Lonchura striata: one gene and its partner. The protein of the gene in region 1 purifies or fractionates together with the protein of each later gene. This does not show direct contact. Links are inferred from orthologs where the notes say so. Each region holds a gene or a part of one and is shown on either strand. Other genes may lie near its edges. The genes, in order: PHF5A and SF3A1.

What was found.
Region 2: the proteins of PHF5A (region 1) and SF3A1 purify together in Homo sapiens (affinity purification with mass spectrometry; 3 studies listed by BioGRID and IntAct, with this or other methods). This does not show direct contact. The link is inferred for Lonchura striata from reciprocal best matches to the Homo sapiens genes PHF5A and SF3A1.

The regions. Positions count from the first base shown.
Region 1 is NC_134607.1:58,398,317-58,405,520, reverse strand, and holds the start of PHF5A (PHD finger-like domain-containing protein 5A), read right to left. Parts: upstream 3,253-7,204; 5' UTR 3,123-3,252; coding exon 3,071-3,122; intron 1,968-3,070; coding exon 1,944-1,967; intron 511-1,943; coding exon 344-510; intron 1-343. Other genes in the region: ACO2 (aconitate hydratase, mitochondrial), read left to right, coding at 3,473-3,508.
Region 2 is NC_134620.1:2,637,294-2,645,396, forward strand, and holds the start of SF3A1 (splicing factor 3A subunit 1), read left to right. Parts: upstream 1-4,922; 5' UTR 4,923-6,180; coding exon 6,181-6,434; intron 6,435-7,530; coding exon 7,531-7,735; intron 7,736-8,103. Other genes in the region: coiled-coil domain-containing protein 157-like, read right to left, coding at 232-309, 582-1,179, 1,814-2,053; coiled-coil domain-containing protein 157-like, read right to left, coding at 3,117-3,368. UniProt on the Homo sapiens protein: Component of the 17S U2 SnRNP complex of the spliceosome, a large ribonucleoprotein complex that removes introns from transcribed pre-mRNAs.

The DNA of each region.
Region 1 (7,204 bases):
TGGACTTCTAGGGAGGAGCTGCTTCTGCCACTGCCTTGCAGTGTCCTGCAATATTTCTGACCCTGGTGAAACCTAGGCTGGAGCTGTAGTAAAATAACCACCTGAAGTGGTAACAAGCAGTGTGTGGAGGAAATGAACTGTGAATGTGCAAAAGAGTCAGAGATCCTTAGAATGAAGAGCATTGCAATACCTCAAAATGCTTTGCAAACACAGAGACCTATCAACAGGGGAATAAAAGTTTCAGATATTGCAAATGAGTGCAGATTGTCCTAGTAGTAATTACAGCAGCTCCAAGCCCCTTAAAGGTAAGCATAACTACTATGTAGCTGGGATGGCAACTTACATCTTTTTCCTGGATGGTGCACTCCTTGCAGTAGTAGGCATCGGACACTCCGGGCCCCCCACAGATGACGCATCGGCCCTGGTAGGAGCCATAGTTACACTCGTCACAGATGCGCACCAGGGTGCAGGGCCGCACGTAGGAGTCACAGATCACACACTTGCCATCACCTGCCAGCACAGCAAAGCCTTTGGTTACAGAATGTCCTTTCTGCCACCTCCACATCAGAGGAAAAGCTTCCTGGTCCAATAACTTCCCTGTGCACTCAAAGTGCTGAACTGCAGAAATGTGCTTGGCAGGCACAGGGCACAACTTTGTACTGTACACAGACTTGAGAGGAACAAGGCCATGGCCCACAATATTTGAGTTTTTTTTTTTTAATTTAGTAATTTGTTCACTGTCAGAGAAGAAACCCAAAATTACTTGGATAACTACTGTGTGATTAGTCAAGACTTGCTTAGATTGTACCACTACTTTTACTCTAAAACTTTTCCTGACTTTCATTTGCAAAGAAAAAAAGCCAGAATGACAGAACTAGAGTCCTTACCTACACAGAAACTGCAGCGTAAGCTTCTCCACAGTGACAAATCAACAAAAGTCTGGAGTTACTATGCTCAAAGAGATAAGAGATTGTACTCATGGTCCCTTTAATCCTTCATCTGTGACAAGGTCAAAGGAAGGGCAAACTGGCATAAGCAGCCATTTCACAAAAGTTACTCTTACGCTCTCACAAGGAACTGAGTGAAATTCAAGTACTGATATCATACAGGCAAGGAGCCATCAGATGCCAGTAACAGCTTCTGCTGAGCTGGACCTTAACGAAAACACTGACCTACGGATGAAAGGCTTCATATCCTATTACCAGTTCCCAAGGTATCTAATCCTGACTCCCACAAACAGCTTGCCTAACCTGCTCTTAAATCTCTGGCGTGACAGCCCTCAGCTACTACCAATGGGAATCTGTTTCACTGTCAGGTGCTCTTGAAAATTGCTTCTTGCTTTAGACTCTCCTTCTCCCATTTTACTTATTCTCACACTATTTTATTTGAGTCACAAACTACTCCCTCATTTGTTCTGTTCCCCTCAATGATCTAATGACAGATCACAAGGATCTAACAACAGATCATACTCTTTCTTCCCTTTCACAGATAAGCATTTGATTCCATGGGTGTTTTTCCTGCTCTAACTTCTGACATTTGCCCTCCATTTTTTCTTGTCCTAGATGCTAATGGAGACCTTTCTTACAGTATGATGAAGCCAAAACCCAAAAATGCATTTTTCCCCCTCCTTTAAAATGATCAGGATGATATTTTGGTATTACAGATTACAAGGATCCAGTGAAACAGCCACTGTAGCCTCAGCCACTAGAAATGATGGCAGCAGGTACACTACAACTGCATTTGTGTGAGAGTCTGTTTGAGCTTGCAACTTTTTAAGTATTCCTTGAGCTACACTTGCAATGTTACAGTAATTGTTCCCTTTTCAAAGGGTGACATTAAGTTTGGGGTTAAAGCAAAAATAGAATCCAACCTTCAAACCCAAACTACACACTCTAACCACAACACTACATTCTCAATCAACTAAATGTGGTTGATATACTTACATTTTTCACAGAGTCTTCCGATTGCTGGGGATAAAAAAAGAAAAAAATTATTTGAGGCAAGAGAAAAATCTAAGCAAGTACAAGCTTGAATATCAAATTATTATTTTCTGCAATAAGCAGTCCTTAAAAAAAATGAAAGGCTAAACTATAGAAACAGTTTGAGCATAAATAGATACATTCATGATAAACAACATATATCCTCCTGGAGAGATTTACCAGAACCCAAGATGCACTATACATGCACAATGATATCCCTCTGCAGTAAGAAAACCTACATTCATCATTCCATTTCAAACACAGCCGGTGTATCTGACTGAAGAAAATGTACATGAGTCTTGTCACAGCTTTTACACTGGTTTTAGTGGGGGGAAAAAACCAAAATCAAGTGTTTGTTTCAAGCCATCCAAATACCTTCTTTGCTTTAGAACATGAAGGTAGTTAAATGTACCTGAGAAGTCTTCTCACTTGTCTGGGACACTCACAACAATGTTAGGAACTTGGATAAATTTAATAAATATTGAGTTTCAAAGACTAGACGTGCACATCAACGAAGACTAAATACTGATTTGTCTGAAGTCTGAGAGAAAAGGGATTTGTCAGGACGTGACTTTTCAACATAGACAAATGGTTAGAAGCACTGACTATTCTAAAAAGAGATGTGCAGCTGAATGCTTTGCGTTTCTGGATCTTGCAGAAAGCTGCTCGTTAAATGTGCTTTTCCAAGGAGTGACAAAAACCAGGAAGGGATACCTCAACTTCTAATCTTGTATAAGAGTTCTCTGAACCTTGACCCAAATGCTGACTCGGGTGCGACAAGGATAAACCCCGTTATCTGTATTGCAGGAATAACCCGGAAGAGAACTTTTGTCTCGCAGCCAGAAAGATGCTCCCAAGTGCTGCTGGATCCACAACGCACGGCGGGGCATCAAAAATAAAGGAAAATAAAAGGAAAACAAAAGAGGGAGGGAGGAGCGGGTGGCGCGCCGCCCCTCCCCCTCCCCCGCCGGGCCTAACGGCCGCGCGCGTGCCCGACGGCCGGTAAGGCGCGCGCGCCTCCCGCTCGCCCCGCGGCCCGAAAACGGGGGAAGGAGCTCCCCATTCGCATCCTCCCATCCCCCGGGACCCACCGACGCCGGCCTGCTTGCGGCAGAAGATGAGGTCCGGGTGGTGCTTGGCCATGGCGAGGCGACACCCGCCCGGCGCTGCTGCTGCTACTCCTGCGGCCCCGCGGAGCCCTCACCGCCGCGCCACCCCCGGGTCCTGGCCGGGGTGAGCGCAGCGCCTGCCAAAGCGCCTCCCCCGAGCGGGAAAACGCCGAGGGATGCCGAAATAAACCCTCCCCCTAAAGCCACCCCATCTTTAACCTTCCCCCTCCCCGAGCAGCCCCGCGTGGCAGCCGACGACCCTCTCCTGTCGCGGGTGTCTCCCTGCCAGGACCCGCGCGGCCACGCCCCCGCGCGCGCACCGGAGATGTCAAAGGGGCCGCGTGACGCCATCGCGGCGCGACTCCATCTTTGTCAGTGAACAAAATGGCGCCGTACTGCGTGCTGGCGGCTCGGCTCAGGGTGAGCGGCGGTGGCGGGCGGGGCAGGCAGCGGGCGGGACGGGCGCAGGGAATTGCGGCAGGGACAAGATCACTGCCCGCTGGGCGGCCACGAGGGCGGCCGCTCGCCCGTAGCCTCGGGGTCAGGCCGTCCCCGCCTCCGCGTGTAGGTCAGCGTGTCCCCGCTGCGGCCCCACGCCCTGTTTCCATGGCGATGGTGGGGCAGCCGCGGCTTTGGCGGCGGCTGCGTGGCCGCTGCTCGGGCTCGGGTGCAGGACGGCTCCCGCTACCGGGCCCGGCCGGCTGTCAAGGTGAGTGCAAGGTGAACGGGGCGGCGGGGACGCGGCCTGGCGCCGCCGCCTCCCCCGTCTGCCCGGACCCCGCTGTGGTGGACTGCAGCCGCTGTCAAAGCCTCGGGCCTAACAGGGCAGTGAGCCCGAGGGCGCGGGCCCGAACGGTGAAATAAAAGGTCTTTCCCCGGGGCAGGCATTTTTCTTTCCCTCGTCTTGTATTACTTCCCCTATGGGCATGCGGGAGCACAAGGTGACTCCTTATTGTGTGAGTGAGCTGTCTTTTGGCTACTTTGCTTCAAAAATACTTCTTTTAATACAAACAGAGGCTTCTGGGTGACAAAGGTGCCAGCCTCTCTGTATGGGGAACTAGGACAGCTGAAGAAGCAGGCAGGTCAGACACATAAATTGCCTTTTTTCCTGGGGCTGTGGTAGAAGCTCTCACAGTCTTGACTGTCATGACCTCTAAAACTCACCTTTGCCAGTAATATGATCTTGTCCCAGAGATTGCCTTCCTTGGAAAAGACTTTGTTGAGTTTAGTGTCTACTCAGTAATAAAGTTTTCATATCTTTTAAAGCCTGTAAGGCAAATACCAGGTGCAGTTTTCTGTTTAGGGCTGCTAAGGGATAAGGAAACCTTTGCTCCCCTCTGATAAAGGCCGGCAGTGGAACTTCTCAGTTTGCCACTTTTGACCTTGGCCAATGTGTTCCCCTTTCCTAGGGAACTGAAGTAAGAATTTGGTTGGCTTTTAGTATTCTAAAAGTATTTTTTGAATCTTAATTACAGTTTGCTTATTAGGTTATTGCTGTCTTGCTTTAGAGGTAGATGTTTTAGAAAAATATAGTAGTTTTTAAATTTAAATGAAAGCTACAGAATTATACCATTTTGGTTAGGTTGGTATATTTGTTCTTACTTAGTTACTTGTTCTTAAATAGTTTTTAGTTTGTACTTTGAACAGAAATGACTGCTCATAAAATGAAGGCAAATCTTTTATTAGGGTAATGAATTGGTTCTTGTTTTATGCTGTGACATTGCATGAGAACAAGCAGTCATTTGCTAAAATTAATATTGTATTATGCAAAACAAAGGCTATGCTGGCATAGTTGGTATGGGAAATTTAGTATTCCAGGAGGTTGTCATCTATTATCAGGCTCAGGGTCCATATTTATTTCCTCCCTGTGAAGGACTAAATCTGTGATGTTAATCAAACAAGTGATGTCTTTAGGAAGCTCCTGTGGAGCAGCCTAGAGGTTAATGAATATGAGCATCATCTTGTAAATTACTGTGATAGGGCCAGTATTGACCATGGCACATATTACTACTATTGGTTCTGCTTGCCTCCTGTCCTGGAACTGTTTTGGAAGTGGAACTGCAGAGAAAGCTTGCCTCTGAAAGAAATAAACTGGAATTAGCCTGATTTGGACTGACTGTGCTATTTGTAGTATAGTTCTAATAGCCTCAAAGAGTCAAGATCTCTTTTCTGCCTACCTGAAATAACACTTTCCAGTAGCATTCCACTTTTTGAGCCATGTTGCTTGAAGATTGACTGAAAGGGAGCACTGTAAAGCTCTAAACTACCTGAAATACCAGGTTTATTGAAGGCTTGTGGGTAAGTACCAAAATTATACATGGACCGCTATGTGTATCTGGCAGAAATGTTGGCCAGGGCTAAACTGATCTTCAGAACCATAATTTTGGTTGCTATTTTGAGGTGGGTCCAGAAAATGAGCTTGCATTTACAATTTTATTATACCACACTACTTTTTTTTTTTTTTTAGGCTGAATCATTGCGAAAGTTGGAAGCTTGTCCAATGTTCTTAGATCAGGAAAGATGGTATTTTGGGTTTCAGCTGGGATTTCTAGGACAGATTTCCCAGACAGAAGTGTACATAACACAGTTGCTACTCTTTTGAATATGAGCTTTTGCTCGCTGGACTTGTCTGCCGTATCGGCTCCCAAAATGCAAGTTATTTTCTGAATTCAGACTCCCCTTGCACCTGGAACATTCACAGTAGTGAACTAAATGCATGACAGCTACCTTAAAATTTATAAAGAGCAGTGTTAACTTCCTCACAGAGATTTCAGAAATAATGACCCATTTATTTGCTTTCTTCTGTCTTTAAAGGAAGTTTTTCACCTCATGAAACACCAATAGGCTTAGGAGTCCTGTAATGATTACTGCCATTCCTTTTACTGAAATTTGAACAAGGACACTGCAAACTGGAATAAGGGATTCAGTGCCAGGTGAGAAGAGGTCATTTGGCAGCTGTTTGGTCAGTTCCTGGATAAAAAGGAAAATTTTTAGATTGGTGGCTGCCTACTTCTCTTGGCTCTTGGACTAAAGGCACTTCTCACTACTTACTGAGAAAACATGGAAGTCCCTGCGAAGCACTTGTAGATTCCCTCTCAGAGAAGTGTGAAAGGGAATGAAACTGGGAACTATCAGGCTTGTGACTTGTCCTTAATCTTGCAGCTCTGCACCCTGTTTCTGAGGATGCAATAGGAGAAGGACAAGCATGGAGAACAGACAGGTGTGATGAGTGATACAGTGTAGATTCTTTGTGAGGAGGGATCAGACTTTTGAACCAGGCAGTTTATACTTGTTGCTTAGTGGTGGGTGGTGGTGGATCCTTAGACTTGCTGGGTGCCAACATGAGAAGAACCATATTGAATCAAATTAATTCCCAACAGAAATAGGGATTAGGTTTATATCCTGGTAAAATGAAGATGGCACTTTTTAATTAGATGCCTTTTAAAATTCTTATGTAGAGAAAAATGCTTGTCTAATCTACTGAAGGTGATCGGCTTAGGCAGTTATTTTTCGTGGGTCATACTGGCCATTACAGAAACAGACCTTCAGTTTTCCAGACTTCTCCAAGTCCAAAGAGAGTCCTTCACCTTAAACACGTTGTCTTCCTGCTTCTGGTAGTGTGAAGCTGTGGTCAGCAGGATTCAATTACTTTGTATTGCTGATCTTGCGATTACCAGCTGAACATTGCCATAGTACTAGAAAAAAATTACATTTCCTTGTGCCATTTCATAAAGTGAAAAGACCCATAGACATGGATGTTCAAACAGAAAATATTTTGTTTGAGAAGTTTTGTTGTACCTCTTTTTGAAGTGCCCTACTTCAGATTTCTGTTTTAATCAGCTTTGGTCCCAGGCAAGAATAAGATGCTATGAAGCCTGTGCTATTACTTTTATTTGCATCTCTGGTCTTCTCTATGATGAATTAGGAAGAAATTACTACATTAAACCACAATACATTTCCTAGCCTGGGAAAGAGATTATTTTTCTATGAACAGTGATTAAATACCTCAGTGTTTTTTTTTCCAGCCATTCCAGCAGTTGAAGACTTTCACAAGATGGAATATCTTGTGAGGTTAAAAAAAAAAAAAAAAAAAAGGCTAGAACAAAGCAAACATAA
Region 2 (8,103 bases), on another chromosome or scaffold:
AAAGGGAGGCAGGTCTGACAGGAGGCCTGTGACCCCCCACCTCCCCAAACCTCCAGCAGCATCAGCCCACTCTGGCACTGGCTGAGTGAAGGAGGCCCATCCTCTGCCCATCCCCTCAGCTCTACAGCCCAGTCTGGGGGTGCAGGGGGCTACACGGGTGTGAAACACTCGTGAGGCCAGGGTGAGGGTGGAGATGTGTGAGCTGGGTGAGTCCCTGCATGAGCCCCTTACCCAGCTCCTGCACAGCCACCTGCTTTGCTGCCAGCTCCTCCTTCAGGGCCCGCAGTTGCTCCTCCAGCAGAGCAGCTCCTAAACCAGTACAAAAACCCTCTCATTAACCAGTTCTTCAAAATAAAACTAAACCAAGGGGCAGCAAACAGCCACACCAAAGAGTTTTCATCCTGATTGTGCTACCAGGGAGGAGGCAATGATAGGACACACAACCAACTCCCACTGCCTGGGATTGGCCTCACAGCAGGGAGAATCCCCCAGCACCTACTAAAAGTCCTGCTGGTTGTGGAGGGGCCAAAATTTGCCCAAAGACTGTTATTCTGCCTGCAAATGCCCCCAGGCCTCTGTACCTCTCCGGAGATCATCCTTGTCCTGCTCCAGCCTGGCCACAGCCTCGGAATGCTCCTTTTCCTTGGCTTTCAGGCCCTGCTCAGCCTTCTTCTGCTGCTCTGCTTGGGTGGCCTTCTCTGCCCGCAGCTTCCTGGAAAAGTCCTCAACCTGTTTCTGCAGCTTGTCCTTCTGTCTGCCCATCTCTTCCAGCTCAGCCTTCACAGGGTTCAGCTGCTGCAGCAGCCCCTGGAGGTGTTTGTTGATCCGGGAGAGGTCCTTGCTCTGCTCCGAGGCCCAGTAGCTCACGTCTGTTGCAGAGAGGTTCCTTCTCCCTGAGCTGTCCTCCAGCGCCTCCTGGAATTTGCTGAGAGCTGAAGGGATGTTCTGGCTCTGGCAGATGCTGGTGATGGCTCTGCCCACCTCGTGGAGGCTGGCCTGGGCGCTGGAGCAGGTGTCACAGGAGCCCAGGGGTGACCCTGGGGTCTGTGTGAGGACACTGCGGGTGCTCTGAGCCAGGCTGGGGCACGCAGGAGTGGACTGGGCAGCCTCTGGGGCAGTTCCTGACTCCAAAACATCTGGAGAGAAGCGTTTCAGGTGCTCCTTCTGGTATTTCCCAGCCTGGGGAGCAGAGGGTGGAGTGGATTGCTGTGTGGGGATCTCCCACCTACAATCCCTCCCCCGAGGGAGAGAGCACAGAATGAAACCAGAGCCCAGATCAAAGTGGAAATGACCCATAAAAGCCTAAATCAGGTGTTGAGATAGGACAGCAATGCAGCCAAAGGGACAGTGACCAAGGGGAAGCCTCAGCAGCAAAACATACTCCCCACCATCCCTTCTTTCCCACCCTCTGCACTGCCTCCTGGTTTTGCCACATGGATTGTTCTGAGACTTTTCCATGAGAAAGATCATGTTGGGGAAAATAAAATGCAGGAGAGGTTGTTTTTACCACCAATTATTTCACTGTCTTGAGACAGCTCAGCTCCACAGTGGGATCAGCAGAGCTGCAGCATTTTGGCAGTAGGAGAATATTTTCCAAGCTCTAGAGGCAGCCCAGCTCACTCATCCCGAGACCCTGGAGCAGGAGGGATGCAGTGGCACAGCTGGGAGGGGCGGAGGGAAGGGACAGATGTGCGACACAGGGGCCAGCACTCAAAGGGTGCGCGGCCACAGGGTGTTGAGAAGGCCCACCACGATCCAAATCCAGAGGGGGAGAGGAGTGACTCAGCTCGTGGGACGTCCCCAGATGTCCCACCTCGTGGCGGAGCTGCTGGCAGAAGGCCCCGAGTTTCAGCATGGTGCTCCAGAAGGTCCGGGCCGTGAGCCCCGCGGACATGCAGGGCCCCGGGCCCCGCGGCGGCGGCACCGCCCGCCCGCTCAGCACCGCGTCCGCGTAGCCGGTGAAGCTCTGCAGCAGCAGCAGCAGCCTGTCCCCACGGGAAAACACACCCTGGAGCTGGCACTGCCAGCTGGGCCAGGGCCGGCCCCCTCCCATCACCAGGCAAAGCCCCGGGGATGCGGGAGGGCGGGATGGGTGCTCCCGGGACTGCCCCGGTGTGGGCAGTTCATGCAGCAGCCACTTCCCAGAAATTGTGATTAAGCTCCCCCCAAAGATTTGGCACTGCAAATCCTGACTTTTAGGGTCAACAGCTCAGTGGGAATGGCTCATCTTTTAAATCAGAGCTGTATTTATTTCACCCAGACTGCAAAAGGGGCTTTGGCCTGCCGGGGCTGTTGATGCAGCTGTTTCCAAAGTTTTGGGAGGTATTTTAATAAGCCTGTCCCATCTGCTCCACCTCTGGCTCTGCTTCTTTGTGGCCAGTGTGTGCTGGGAGCTCTAAGCAGGGAAAGGAGTTGGGTTTTAAACTCAGCAGAGCATGAGGCCAAGGTGCTGGCACTGCCCATCGTGAAGATACATGGGGAACAAAGCATCCAAGACTTCATGAAAACATGGGATATCCTGAGCTGGAGGGGACCCAGGAATCATCCAGTCCAACTCCTGTCCCTGCACAGACACCCCAGCAATCCCACCCTGTGCCTGAGAGCATTGTCCAAAGGCACCTGGAGCTCTGGCAGCCTCGGGGCCCTGATGTGGCACTTGGTGCCATTGATAAGGTGGCATTACATCTTAGGTTGCACTTGATGATCTCCAAGGCCTTTTCCAACCCAGCTGATTCTGTGATTACTCCCTGGGGCACCTGCCTGAGCACCCTCTGGGGGAAGAACCTTTTCCTGATATCCAGTCTAAACCTCCCTGACACAGCTCCAGCCATTCCTTTGAATCCCATCCCCGGTCACAGAGATCAGAGCAGTGCCCCGGGAGGAGCTGCAGCCCCGCTGAGATCTGACCTCAGTCTTCTCTGTTGCAGCTGAACAGACCAAGTGCTCTCATGCCCAGCCCTTCACCACCCTCTCCGCCCTCATCTGGATGCTCTCTAACAGCTTTGTCTGTGCTGAGGTGCCCAAAACCTTTGCTAGGACTTGGATAAGCCCAGCACATCAGACACAAGGTGCCCTTCCCCGCGGGGCAGGAGCCGCTCCGGGCTGCCTGGGGGCTCTCACCTGTCAATGAGCAGCTCCAGCAGCACCACGTGTGCGTGCTGGCTGAACTCGGGCTCGCTGTCGCTGTGCCTGTAGCGCTGCAGCAGCAGCGCTATGTCCAGCTCGCAGGACACCTTGTCGGGGAACTTCCAGGAGGGGAAGCGCACGGCGCCGGCCCGGGAGCACACGTCGGCGATGGCGGCCTGCAGGTCCCGCAGGTCGGCCCGCAGGCTCTCCATGCAGCCGCGGTGGCCCAGGAGGTGCGCCATGGGGCGCGGTGGGCCGGGCACGGGACCGGCGGGACACGGCCGGGGAGCAACGGGGCCACCAGGCCCGGGAGCGATGGGGCCACCAGCCCTACCGGCACAGGCTGCTGGAGCAAACCCGCACGGCACCCCCGGGCCCGGCAGCCTCCAGGAGTGCCGGGGAGCCGGAGGGAACCGGGGGGCTCGGAGGAATCAGCAGCAACCGCGGGGAAGAAGCGCCGGGCCCGGGAGCTGTGCTAGGCCGCGGCGTCCCAGCGCTGTCGCCATGGCAACCACGCCCCTCCCCGCTGCAGTGGTGCATTCTTGCACTGCCCCCCCCGCGCGGGGCGCTAATGGTACATCCCGCAGCGCCCTATCCCCGCCCACATCCCGGCCATCTGCGCCTGCGCTCCCGGTGCGTCACTTCTGGCGCGCACGCGCGGCACAGCGCCCGCCGCCGCCATTTCGCCCCAGTCGGAGCCGGCGCCGCGTCCGCTCCGCACAGAGCCGGGCCCGCTCCGCACAGAGCCGGGCCCGCTCCGCACAGAGCCGCGTCCGCTCCGGACAGAGCCGGGCCCGCTCCGCACAGAGCCGCGTCCGCTCCGCACAGAGCCGGGCCCGCTCCGCACAGAGCCGCGTCCGCTCCGGACAGAGCCGCGTCCGCTCCGGACAGAGCCGCGTCCGCTCCGCACAGAGCCGCGTCCGCTCCGCACAGAGCCGGGCCCGCTCCGGACAGAGCCGGGCCCGCTCCGCACAGAGCCGCGTCCGCTCCGCACAGAGCCGCGTCCGCTCCGCACAGAGCCCCCGGCAGCGCCTCCATCGGCCCCGCCCGGCGCGGAGCCCCCGGCCCCGGCAGCGCCATGCCCGCCGGACCCGTGCAGGCGGTGCCTCCGGCGCAGCCCGCGCCCCCCGCCGAGAGCAAGCCGGTGCGGAGCGGAGGGGAGGGGAGCGGGGAATGGCGCGGAGCTCAGGGCTCTGGCAGTGTGGCCCTCACGGGCCGGGCCGGGCTGGGCTTGGGGGAGCTGCGGCTTCGTCCGGTGCGCGGTGTTGACCCCTGTGCCGCGCTCGGGTGAGAGCCCACCTGCAGAGCTGCCCCAGCCCTGGGCAGGCACAGGAGGGACCTGGAGCTTTGGAGAGAGTCCAGAGGAGGCACCAGAGATGCTGCAAGGGCTGGAGGTCCTCTGCTCTGGAGGCAGGCTGGGAGAGCTGGGGGTGCTCACCTGGAGAGGAGAAGGCTCCAGGGAGAGCTCAGAGCCCTTCCAGGGCCTAAAGGGGCTCCAGGAGAGCTGGAGAGGGACTGGGGACAAGGGATGGAGGGACAGGAGACAGGGAATGGCTCCCACTGCCAGAAAGCAGGGCTGGATGGGATATTGGGAATTAGGAATTGTTCCCTGGGAGGGTGGTGAGGCCCTGGCACAGGGTGCCCAGAGCAGCTGTGGCTGCCCCTGGATCCCTGGCAGTGCCCAAGGCCAGGAGCCTGGGCTAGTGGGAGGTGTCCCTGCCCATGGGCTGGGGTGAAATGAGATGAACTTTAAGGTTGCCTTCCAGCCCAAACCATTCCAGGATTCCTTGGAGACAGCAGGATCCAGCTGGGGCTGGGCAGGAGCTGAGCCCTTCCCTGGCAGTGCCCTAGGGCTGTGGTTCCAGTGAGTTGGGGGGGGGGTTGCCAGGAGCTGTGGGAGCTATCCTGGCTCCAGGAATGATGTGTGGAGGGATTAAAAGCCTGAGGGAGTGTGGCAGTGCTGTGTGTCCCTGTAATCTCCCAGAGCCTTTCTCTCTTGGCCATTTTCATGTTCTTTGCAGCCTTCCTGAGATGGGAATGTTCATTCCTCATGCATTCCTGAGATGAGAATCCAGCTCCCACAGAGCTGAAGCTGCTGTCCTGACTCTCACACAGGAACATCAACACTCTTGGGGCTGACAGGGAGCTGATCTCGCTGAGAACCTTGGAAAATTGTGATTCCCCCCCAGAAAAACCCAGTGGCTTTTATGCACAGTTGTTACCAAGGCAACATAGCAGCATTGTTAAATATCGCTAGTGTAGTGTTGCCCCATCCTTCAGCTCCTCAAGATGATGTTCTGAGGGAGTGGGAATAAAACCTAGAAATGTTCATGGTGCCTTTTTCTTAACACACCTTGTTAAGGTTGTGTTTTATGGGATGGTTTGTTTTGGAAGGGACCTTAAAGCCCATCTCATCCCACCCCCTGCCAGGGCTGGGACACCTTCCATTGTCCCACGTGGCCTTGGGCACTGCCAGGGACCAGTTTGACTTCAGAACATTTTCTGGCTTGGATTTTCTGTGGATTTGACAGAGCTGGGAGCTCTACCTGGATTTTAAATTATCCCTGACTGTAGCCCTGTTAGGATTATAAACATTTCCAGCAGATCTGTCCCAGTTTATAACACCTTTTCTTGGAAGCTGCTTGGTGAGGAAAGAGAAGCAGCATCTTTAGTATCCTGCAAAAGCATCTTATGGTTTTACTGGAATACAGATCCTCCTGTAACATCAGTGAGAAAAACACTCTTGGAGATTTTCTCTTCAAAACACCTTCTGTTGCAGCTACAATGGCATTAAAAGCTGTGTTTTATTTAATGTGGAGTTAATAATTCAGGTCCCACAGGCCCCTAGGAAGATGCAGAACTTCCACAGCTGCTGAGGAATGATGAATTATTCCTGGAAATGTTACTGGAGCCTCTTGGCTCAGCATTTAAAAACATACTTGGGGTCAAGGCTGATACAGTGAAAATTGTTTTGGTTCCCATGGGGGCACCTTCCTTGTCCTGCTGTCTCTGCCCCTGCAGCAGGTGCCCCTGAGAGTCCAAGGAGTTGGTGGGATGGATGATCCAGATTGTTCAAGCAGTTCAGTGGCTGAGAGGCTGAGGAGGAGGATGGATAAAGGTTCCTGTGTGCCATTGTTTGGGATGCCTAATCCTGACTCCCCTTCACCTTTTGCAATGAAACTGTCTTCATTACAGCCAGAAGAGGAGCCTAAAGAGGAAGCAGCACCAGCCAAGCCTGTGGTGGGAATTATTTACCCTCCTCCAGAGGTCAGGAATATTGTGGACAAGACTGCCAGCTTTGTAGCCAGGTAAGTGGCACTGGTGGTGTCTCTTTCCTGGGATTTTCATGCTTCTGCTGTTCAGTGCAGCTCTAGAAGCTGAAGCAGGTCCCAGTTTTGTGGTTTTGCGTGAAGGATTTCAAGGATTGAGGTTGTACCAGTGAGACTGAAAAAGAAGTCTCTTCAGGAGAGGGTGTAAGACACCCTTTGCTAGAGAAACTGGTAGTAAATAAATAAAGTCCTTGTTCAAATGTGCAGTGAGTGCTGCAATAACTAGGTGACCGGGCCTGTTCTGAATGATCTGAAGGGGAAACCAAATATCAGGTGCAAAGGGAGCCCTGGTACAGGAGTCATGGCTGTGTTTTGGTGCTAAAATGTGGTTGGTTTTGGTTCCAGAGAATTACTAAATGCTGCTCCAGTCCAACCCTTATTGTGTTACTCATCTTGAAAGTGCTGCCAAGGAGCGTTGGCTGCTTCTGAGCATATGGGGCTGTGTTTATCCTTTGGGATTGCAGAGAGCTCCTCTTTTGGAGGAGCTGGAATGTGTAAATGAGACTGGGAGTTATCCAGAGAATATGAAGAGGAACACCCTGTGGCAGCTGGGAATTTTCTCCAGCTGCCCTGAAATCACTGGCTCGTGCTTTGGGTGGGAGGAGGGGATTTTACTTGGACTGGGACTCCTAAATGCAGCACTCTGGGCTGGTCAATCCCTGCACAGGCTGATGTTTACCTGCTTTTTTTCATCATATGATCACTCTAGAACTGAAATTAGTCTTGAGAACTTGTTAATAGAGCAGATAAAATGGATGTAGTAAGTAACTTGTAAACTTCATGCTTCATAACTGTAAACTTCAGCCAGTGGTGGAAATGACCTTTGAGTGCAGACAGATGTGGCTGGCGAACACTTGTGAGTGTGAATTTTTAATATTCACATTAAAGGCACAATTAGGGTGACAGTTGCATCTAACTTGTGTGTGTTCAGCTGGTTGTGAGCTACTGAGGGAGAAACTCTGGTCGTGTGAGAGAGAGAATGATCTTCCAAGGGGCTGATGCCTCAGCACATCCTAGTCTGAAAGAGACATTTACCCTTGAGTTGATCTAAACAGCTTTTCTTCTTGCTCCCCAGAAATGGTCCAGAATTTGAAGCCCGAATTCGTCAGAACGAAATAAATAACCCCAAGTTCAACTTCCTGAACCCCAACGACCCTTACCATGCCTACTACCGGCACAAGGTCAGCGAGTTCAAGGAGGGCAAAGCCCAGGAGCCCTCGGCTGCCATCCCCAAGGTCATGCAGCAGCAGCAGAGTGCCCAGCAGCAGCTCCCACAGAAGGTGAGTGTTCCTTTTCATCACTTTGGGGGAGATTTTGGCCACTTTGGGGTGGTGTCACAGCCTGGGGTTGAGAAGGAAGGAAGCTTGAAAGTCAAGAAGGAGCAGTTGGTTGTACATCAGTCAAAATGCCAGCAGTGACAGGCTTGGAGTCAAGTGTCTGGGGCTTTGTTTTGATGCAGATGTGCATCTCCCAGCTGCTGGTAACTCAAAGCTGTTTGAAACTTTTTTAATTGGTCCATTTTAAGTAAGTTTAGCTCTGTATTGACTTACAAAGTACTTGGATGTGGCAGAGGCAAGCCTTGGGAATCCCTTGAAGTTCTGTTTGGCCTTGTTGCATGCACTGTTCTGTAGAAACTTTTTGTGCCAGA